2 linked regions of the Arabidopsis thaliana genome follow. The protein of the gene in region 1 interacts with the protein of each later gene in a pairwise test. Each region holds a gene or a part of one and is shown in the gene's direction. Other genes may lie near its edges.

Region 1 (4,940 bases):
ACGATGTTCAGTAACTCATACCTCAAACATTGGTATTACGAATGTACTCCAAAGTTTTAGTTACTTCCCTATCCCAAACATTAGCCTCAAGTTCAGCCTCTCTATCTGATATCTCGGAGCAAAGGCAGCATACTGATACAAACCAAAACTGAAGATGAGTGGGCTTTAGTGGGGCTTTGATTTAGGCTTAGTGTTAAGCCCAATTTCCTTTTATTGTCTTCTACTTAAACTTTTCTTCTTCTTATCAAATTTTGGTCAATATCGGTCAACACCGGTTAATACTGGGTAATGCCGGATTCTGGTCAAAGTAGGATGTCGTGTATGTTCGTATGTGATGTCAATATTTCGTGTAGCTAACGAGACATTTTTAAAGTCTGCATGTGTGGCGATGTGTTGGCTTGTACTCCGTGTAGCTGATAAACATTTTTTCTATCGAAAACGATCAACAACAATATCAATCTAAATTTCTCTCTTATCTCTCTTCTTCTTCACCGTAAAGGTGCAATACTTCTCTCCCTCCATTTCTTTCTGTTCTTTTCATCTTAGATAAGCTTCCGGAGCTTATCACGTACCTTCGGATGATAGATTGGAGGACATAGTTTCCATAGCAGTCATCCATCAAGCTTCCAAAACACAAGAGAGCTTACGCAATACGAATGAGGCAGTAGAACCAGCTCCATATTCAACAACAGGTCTTACGAGAAAATTTGCATACTTGTGTGTGGCGAAATGGGGAAAAAAACCGGAAATCTCTTGGACCAACATTGGCGCAACATCTGGTTTGTGAGAGGCTATTAGAATCTGAAGCAAATGGCAACTACAAAAAGAAGAGAATATTCACTATAATGTCAAAGAATTGAATGAAACAATAACGTATACTCCCTCTGCTTCACAATGGGTAAATGGGAGATAAGAGCGATCAATAACTGAGGACTTGCAAGCTTTAAGAGGATCTTCACATTGTTCAATCCATTACTGTGACTCGTAAGAGAGATGAGTTGTTGTAGTATGATCGACAATAATGGCTCAAACTGATCAAAAGAAAACTCATGAAAGATTACAAAACAAATGATGTAGTTGACCACCGACAAAGATAAAACTAAGTAAAGTTCGTATAAAATAAAGTTATTAATTTGAAATTTCTGAACTAGAAAGAGATAAAAAAATAAAGAAAATAATTAATTATGTGTAGTATGCATATGTGTCTGAATGGATCAGTAACATTTGGCTACCTCAATCAAATCATCAAATCAATTGTATTATTATAGAAAATCTGAAGTATTAAAGTATATTTTTAAATTCTAATCAAATAAACTGTTCAAATTTAATAAATCAACGTATTTTTTCTAATTTAAATAACAAACAATCATGAATAGTTTATTTGCTTCAAAATTTGATTTATTAAATTTGAATTTCGTTTTCCTATATGTTTGATTTATTTATATATAACACTAATGGCCAAGTTTTTAAATAGTCTACTAAAAATTAGATAATTATTTAAATAGACTAAAAATTTCTCCAAAAATGATACATCAACATGATAATTTTGTTTTAAAAAAGATAATGAAATTTTAAGAATACTTCTCATTTAATCTATAAGGTATTTTACGGCCGTAGCTATAATTTTTTATTTTAAAAAAGTTAGTTAAGAGTGAAATGAGAAATATAATTGTAATTTGTAATAGTGATTATATGATTAGGTTAATCAATGAAATAATGGGGCAACCAAAGCTTAGCTGGGTTTAGGAAGACGCCAGGAAAGTAAAAAAACATAAAAAGTCAGGTAGGGGTAAATTAGTCTTTTCAAATACCATGAAGAAAGAAGAGACGCCAAAGAAAAGACTAGTGACGAAAGAGGAAGACGCGGAGGTACTCTCATTCTCTAATCTATTTCTTCGATAGTGTTGATTCTCCGCAAAATCCTCTCGAGAGAATCTTTCCCAAAAGAGATTAGATTTGGTGGAAGAAAAGAGTTCTTCGTCTTCTTGTTGTTGTTGAGGATTGAAGAAGAAGAGAAATGAACCGACAAAACGGTGGAGGGCAGCGGCTGAGATCCGCTAGACCCACCACAATTCACGATTGTGCTCTCTCCGGCGATCTTATTGCTTTACAGAGACTTCTTAAAGACAATCCTTCTCTTCTCAATGAACGCAATCCCGTCGTAATGTCCAAATCTTGACTCTTTCTTTATGTATGCATTTTGATTCCGGGATGTGTTTGATTCGGTGGGTCGATTTAGATTGTAGCTGAATTTTGGAATCTGGATGCAAAATTTGAACTTTTAGATAGGGTCTGATTTCGAATCTCGACAGGATTCATGATCTTCAAGCTTTGTATATGCATGTGAATCTATAAAAAGCAAACTTTATTGAAATGTGTGTTGTATTGACTTTGATTAGTATTGCAGATGTATCATACGCCACTTCATGTTTCTGCTGGTAATGGTAATGTTGATATTGTTAAGTATCTTCTCGCTTGGACTGGATCTGATAAAGTTGAGTTAGAAGCAATGAATACTGTGAGTTTGGTTTGCTTTCTGTTTTCTTCTTTGCTTGAGCTTTTGATTTGTCATTGATCGTTTTCAATGTTGTTTAGTATGGTGAGACTCCATTGCATATGGCAGCTAAGAACGGTTGTAATGAAGCTGCAAAGCTACTCCTTGAGAGTGGTGCTTTTATCGAAGCTAAAGCCAGCGTAATTTCCTCTATTTGATTGATTATAAGGTGGGAAGTAACAACTATGACGATAGTTTGGACTGATTTGGTTTTGGTTTTTATGTAGAATGGTATGACACCGTTGCATCTTGCGGTATGGTACTCAATTACTGCTAAAGAGATCTCGACTGTTAAGACACTGCTTGATCATAACGCAGATTGCAGTGCAAAAGATAATGTATGTTCCACCTCTGAGATTATTGGTTTCTTTTGTTTTAGGGAATTATGGTATTGTTTGTGTAATAGCTGTGGGAGTTTGTATTTACAGGAAGGGATGACTCCTTTGGACCATCTGCCTCAAGGGCAAGGCAGTGAGAAGTTACGGGAATTACTGCGGTGGTTTCTCCAAGAGCAGAGGAAAAGAAGTGCGCTTGAGCAATGTGGTAAGACAAAAGCCAAGATGGAACTACTTGAGGATGAGTTATCAAATATTGTTGGATTAAGTGAGCTGAAGACACAACTGAGGAAATGGGCGAAAGGAATGCTTTTAGATGAAAGGCGAAGGGCTCTTGGGCTAAATATTGGAACCCGAAGACCTCCGCATATGGCATTTCTTGGAAACCCTGGAACAGGTGAAAGGATAATGGTTTATGATTATACATCTCTGTCTTTAAATCAAACCAATACATGACTGCTTTTGTTGATCCAAAACACAGGTAAAACCATGGTAGCTCGAGTTCTCGGGAAGCTGCTTAACACGGTTGGAATTTTACCAACTGATAAGGTAACAGAAGTACAGCGTACAGATTTGGTGGGTGAGTTTGTTGGCCATACAGGACCAAAGACCAGGAGAAAGGTGAAAACACTGTTCATAATCTTCTGGTTTTACTTGTGGGTTTGGTTTCAAGAATCTAAAACTTTCAATTTCTGGACAGATCCAAGAAGCTGAGGGAGGAATTCTGTTTGTGGATGAAGCATACAGATTGATCCCGATGCAAAAGGCGGACGACAAGGACTACGGTCTAGAAGCTCTGGAAGAAATCATGTCAGTCATGGACACAGGGAAAATTGTGGTGATATTTGCAGGATACAGCGAGCCCATGAAGCGTGTGATCGCATCAAACGAAGGGTTTTGCAGAAGGGTCACAAAGTTTTTCAATTTCAGCGACTTCAGTGCCAAGGAACTGGCGCAGATACTACACATCAAGATGAACAACCAAGGAGAGGACACTCTGTTCTATGGTTTCAGATTGCATGAGTCCTGCACTTTGCAGGAGATAGCGTCACTGATAGAGGCAGAAACAACGGAAAAGCAGAGGAAAGAGATGAATGGAGGATTGGTGGACACGTTACTTGTTAACGCGAGGGAGAATCTTGATCTCCGACTTAGCTTTGAGTGTGTTGACACTGAAGAGATTTGTACAATCAAGTTGGAGGATCTAGAGGCCGGGCTTCGAGTTTTCTCGCAGTGAAAAGAAACTTCTGATGGCTAATAATTGGTTAGTATTACAAATTGTATTGATTCAATTCTTTACATCATATATTCTTTATGTTTTTGTCCCCCTCAAGATCTTGTAGGAGGAGAGGCTTTGGTTTCAACTTCCATTGTTTGATCAAATCTATTTCTGTTGTATAAAACTATATTGATATTTTGTCTTTTCACTTTTCTCATATTTTTTTGTAAAATGTCTTTCTATTTCTTTTAATTCATAGTAGTGTTATTTATGGTGCCAACGATTTTCATGTAAAAGTGTTGCGTTTGGTTCGAACTTCGAATTCGAACCAAACTTGTCAACCTTCTACACATTCGATATTCAAATACAAGATTTTGGTCCATCATATTGGATACCGAAAACCTTTTTGGCACTTGATCAAGCCTTAAATCTTTTCTGGATAGTCTCGATATCTATTATCAGAAAGAGTTTGAAAGTGATCAATTCAAGATCCCAAATCTTAAGTTAACCAAAATGCATACAATCCTTTACGCCATATTTTGACGATCAAATGATTAACTTTACTTCCTTCTCTTCTTGTTTAACAAAACCATTGTTTTTTTTCTTGTTTGATAAACTCTATCGGTTGATCCGGTTAGTCCGGATGGAAACGTACCAAAATGTTTTGGAGTGGACTTTTCCTCGAATTGTCACTATTCCGAGTTTGGAATGCTTTCCGACTAATGTCAAAGGGTAGTGAAGCCGCATGCATTTCTGATTACCATGTAAACCAATTAGGTCAAACCCCAACTAACAGACTTGTGTTTTTGTTTACAAGAAAAATCGAACTCGG
Region 2 (4,925 bases), 2.8 Mb from region 1:
ATGAGCTTAAACCCATCATTACCATTACGAAGAATGAAAGTGTCAGAGACTTCAATTGCTTTTTCAGTCTTGGCTCTGTGCGTTATAACCTCGGCTGTTGCATTGGTACAGAAGAAGGGTAATCGCTTGAAACAAAAGAAAGAAACTTAATTTCGTCAAAAACCCTGAAACCCCACAGGTAGAAGTTTAATTTCAAGTAACAGAGAGCTTTTTACAAGATTTAAAAGGCCCTCGGTCATACAATTCTAGTTTCTAGAGATTGTTTGTCACGCAGAAGAGATATGATCTTGTATGTATGTTTTATCATTTATATATGGTTAAGAGCCTAGTTGTGATATACAACGAAAGGAATGTTATTACTTGAACAAATGTTTATGTATGCTAGACCAGCTTAAACCGTGACAGAACTATGCTTTGAACTCAATTCAGTCCTCTTATTTACTTTGTTTGTCCCTCTCTCATTAGAGGAACCTTTTTAGGCAATCAAGAAAAGGTTTCCCATAATCCCATATCTATTAGTATAGTCTTTTATTGCTTAGTGGGTCTCAACACACAGCTACTATACTTAGTATTTACATTATGATGACTAACGTCTTTATCTTCCAAAGTAAAACAATAGTAAAGCCAGCTAGATAGTTAAAAACACAACTCAATAGTATACCTTTTGTTAAATGGCTTAAAAACAACTCAATATTCCAACTACCAAACTGTTTATCCACATGTGCGATCGAAAATAGATCCATTAAATTACTACACTTCATATAGTTTTACTCTTTTCTTCTAAAATGTAACGCCCAACCACATATCAATGTAACCGTCGTGAATCTTTTTTCATCTTTTATTGTAAATTATCCAAAATATGAATCACAATAATATTACCTTTGTGGACCATGAAATAATTTATTCGATGGATAGAAAAATTGGTAAGATAGTAAGATTAATGGGACCCTTTAGATTGATGCCGTTGATATGCAGAGAGTGGAGACAATAAAAAAACAGAGAATGCGTTACTTGTAAATAAAAGAGCCTACTTTGAATGCTGTTAAATTATTGTTGTTGGCTTTTTTACATGTTTATGGTCCTACCTTTCTCTGCATACCCATGTTCATTTTTTTCTTTTCTTTTACAACCATGCATTATCATACTACTATAGTAAGAAAAAATCAATTTTATTATTAAAGAAGCAAAACAAAAAAAAATACATAGAATTAAGTGTTATCTTGAGAAGAGTGATTCCACTTTACTCAGATGCAGGGAATTTCATAATCAAAACCTTTGTATTCCATTTCTCCATAAACACACACACCCACTTGCTAATTTTCTTGTTAATCCGATTGATTATTAAACTCTAAGTTTTTGTAATCCAGTTAATAATCTTTAGCAGTTGGAATTTAGATAAGACAACACAGCTTAGTGGTACGAATGATTCACATAAGATTCTATAATATCAATAAGTTAAAACATAAAAACCAATAATAGAAATTAAAAAAAAAAAAATACAAATATTTTTGTCGAAGCATATAAAGACATACGTCACTGTTGTATAGAAATTGTCGTTTTTGTCACATTTAGATTTTAATTTGAAAAAATTTCAAAACTCGAAAAAAACAAAAAGTGGAGAAAAAGAGAAAGAGAGAGTGTTAAGAGTGTTGACTAGCTTCACTCTTTCTCTGTAAACCACACACACAGCTTCTTCACTGAGAGCTTTTTTCTAGGGTTTCTCTCTTTGTTTCTTACAATGCGACTCTTCTTCACACCGTCAATGTCCAATCTCTCCATATTCTTCTCGATTCTTCTCCTTTCTCTTCCTCTTCCGTCAATCGGAGATCTCGCCGCCGACAAATCCGCTCTTCTCTCTTTTCGTTCCGCCGTCGGTGGTCGTACATTACTCTGGGACGTCAAGCAAACCTCACCATGCAACTGGACCGGCGTCTTATGCGACGGTGGTCGTGTTACTGCTCTTCGTCTTCCCGGTGAAACGCTCTCCGGTCATATACCGGAGGGTATTTTTGGTAATTTAACTCAGCTCCGGACGCTTAGTCTCCGTCTCAATGGTCTTACTGGTTCTCTTCCTTTGGATCTCGGAAGCTGCTCCGATCTTCGGCGTTTGTACCTGCAGGGTAACAGATTCTCCGGTGAGATTCCGGAGGTTTTGTTTAGTCTTAGTAACCTTGTTAGGTTGAATCTAGCTGAGAATGAATTTAGTGGAGAGATCTCGTCAGGGTTTAAAAACCTTACTAGGCTTAAGACTCTGTACCTGGAGAATAACAAGCTCTCTGGCTCTCTTTTAGACTTGGATTTGTCTTTGGATCAGTTCAACGTTTCTAATAACTTGTTGAACGGATCTATACCTAAGAGTTTGCAGAAGTTTGATTCTGATTCGTTTGTGGGAACTTCTCTCTGCGGCAAACCGCTTGTTGTCTGCTCTAATGAGGGAACTGTGCCAAGCCAGCCAATTTCTGTTGGCAATATTCCCGGAACTGTTGAAGGAAGTGAGGAGAAGAAGAAAAGGAAGAAGCTTTCTGGTGGAGCTATAGCTGGAATAGTGATTGGATGTGTGGTTGGTTTGTCCCTGATTGTTATGATTTTGATGGTTCTCTTTAGGAAAAAGGGGAACGAGAGAACAAGGGCCATTGACCTTGCAACCATCAAGCACCATGAAGTTGAAATTCCTGGCGAGAAAGCGGCCGTGGAAGCACCGGAGAATAGGAGCTATGTAAATGAGTACTCTCCGTCTGCAGTGAAAGCTGTGGAAGTGAACAGTTCAGGGATGAAGAAGTTAGTGTTTTTTGGGAATGCGACAAAGGTCTTCGATCTTGAGGATCTGTTGAGAGCTTCAGCGGAGGTTCTGGGGAAAGGAACGTTCGGGACAGCTTATAAAGCGGTGCTTGACGCGGTGACATTGGTGGCTGTGAAGAGACTGAAGGATGTAACGATGGCGGACAGAGAGTTTAAGGAGAAGATTGAGGTTGTTGGGGCGATGGATCATGAGAACTTGGTGCCCTTGAGAGCGTACTATTACAGTGGAGACGAGAAGCTGCTTGTCTATGACTTCATGCCTATGGGAAGCTTATCAGCTCTCTTACACGGTGAGAACTACCCCTCTCTTTCTTTCTCAGCGAAAAATTTGATTTTTATTGTTAATAGTTCTCTGCTGAATCTTAAGTTTGGCATAATTAGTAATGGATTCGTTAATATACATTACTGTTAAGAAAGAAATGACAAAGATTCTATCATGAAATGATTAGTTTGGTACTGCATCACATTGACAAGGATCAGTGAAGAGTTTTTATCATTCACATGGCTTACACAGGACGTCTATGAATTAGTGGGGACAGTAGATAACCTTGGATTCCTTGACTAGCTGTGATAATTGATCTTTTAGAATTGTATTTTGAACAAAGAAAAATCCAGACCTCCTGTGTTCTACTTTCAGACAGTAGTTTTTTTTGTGTATTGAGCTTAATGTCATGCTATGTTACAGGAAACAAAGGTGCAGGCCGGCCTCCATTGAACTGGGAAGTCAGATCAGGCATCGCCCTTGGAGCTGCTCGTGGCTTAGACTATCTTCACTCACAAGACCCACTGAGCTCTCACGGAAACGTCAAGTCCTCCAATATCCTCTTAACAAACTCCCATGACGCACGAGTGTCTGATTTCGGCCTGGCTCAGCTTGTAAGCGCCTCATCCACAACCCCAAACCGGGCCACTGGGTACCGTGCGCCAGAAGTAACTGACCCGAGGCGTGTCTCACAGAAAGCGGACGTGTACAGCTTTGGTGTGGTGTTGCTAGAGTTGCTCACCGGAAAAGCTCCGTCTAACTCGGTGATGAACGAGGAAGGAATGGATTTGGCGAGGTGGGTGCATTCAGTGGCGAGAGAGGAGTGGAGGAATGAGGTTTTTGACTCGGAGCTGATGAGTATCGAGACAGTTGTCTCGGTGGAAGAAGAGATGGCGGAAATGCTGCAGCTGGGCATTGACTGTACAGAGCAGCACCCAGACAAGCGGCCAGTTATGGTGGAGGTGGTGAGAAGGATCCAGGAGTTGCGCCAATCGGGTGCAGATCGGGTGGGGTAAGACCATCAGATGAAAGGAGACTTGAGACATGAGTCTGTTCGATGATCTGAAGCGGCGACGTTTTCAGTGTTTAGTTTTAAGAATATGGCGGGAATTAGAGTTGGGGTCGTTAATTAGATGTTTTTAATTTTGGTTTTTTTTTTTTGGTTTCTTTCATGTGTGGGCACTGATGATGAGGAGTTTCGTGGTGGTTGTAATTATTAGTGCTTTTAACTTTAACTTTATTTTCAATATTGTTTTTCAGCTTTTTGTCTCTATGATATGATAGTAAGCAATGCAGACAAAAAAAGAAGATAGTATAGTTTAAATTCATATTAATACATAGACTAACGGACATGAAACTTGCAGTAAGACGACAGGTGATAATGTAATGTCTTTATGATCATACATTCACATTTACGCCTGCTTATGGCAATCCAATGGCATGACAGCTTTTTGTATAAGTGGATATATCAAGTCACATGTTACACGATTACATGGCTGGATCCAAATGTAGACATGGGAAGACCTCATACGACGTCATGTTGGTATGTTTTGGATTATTTCTTGTTTGAACTTGTTCGCCAAAAGTCCAAGATAAAGTTGTGGGCAAATTTGTTGATGACAACTAAATAAATCTAAAATTGTTGAGAGGTTATGTCTTAAATGGTATTTAAAATTATTAAAGATTAAGTAGGTTGCGAGCTCTCTTATCTTTACTGAGGTAGACCGATTGCTGCCGCTGCTAACTCAAAACGCAAAACGCTACCTCACCACTCTCATGTCCTTGTGATTATAGAAATATGGGAAAAGTACCAATACCGCGCTGGTGGCTGCGTTTGCGTCCCCATGATGTTTCAATATCCGTT

Evidence for each region. The genes of interacting proteins can lie anywhere in the genome.
Region 2: the proteins of AT3G24530 (region 1) and RLK902 interact in a protein complementation assay, tested with the Arabidopsis thaliana proteins (one large-scale study listed by BioGRID).

Annotation. Positions count from the first base shown.
Region 1 is NC_003074.8:8,944,864-8,949,803, reverse strand, and holds AT3G24530 (AAA-type ATPase family protein / ankyrin repeat family protein), read left to right. Parts: upstream 1-1,786; 5' UTR 1,787-2,017; coding exon 2,018-2,161; exon of another isoform or gene 2,162-2,407; coding exon 2,408-2,518; exon of another isoform or gene 2,519-2,595; coding exon 2,596-2,694; intron 2,695-2,781; coding exon 2,782-2,892; intron 2,893-2,982; coding exon 2,983-3,286; intron 3,287-3,370; coding exon 3,371-3,510; intron 3,511-3,589; coding exon 3,590-4,126; 3' UTR 4,127-4,419; downstream 4,420-4,940.
Region 2 is NC_003074.8:6,104,354-6,109,278, forward strand, and holds RLK902 (receptor-like kinase 902), read left to right. Parts: upstream 1-1,554; 5' UTR 1,555-1,738; coding exon 1,739-3,089; intron 3,090-3,484; coding exon 3,485-4,077; 3' UTR 4,078-4,384; downstream 4,385-4,925. Other genes in the region: AT3G17830 (Molecular chaperone Hsp40/DnaJ family protein), read left to right, coding at 1-150.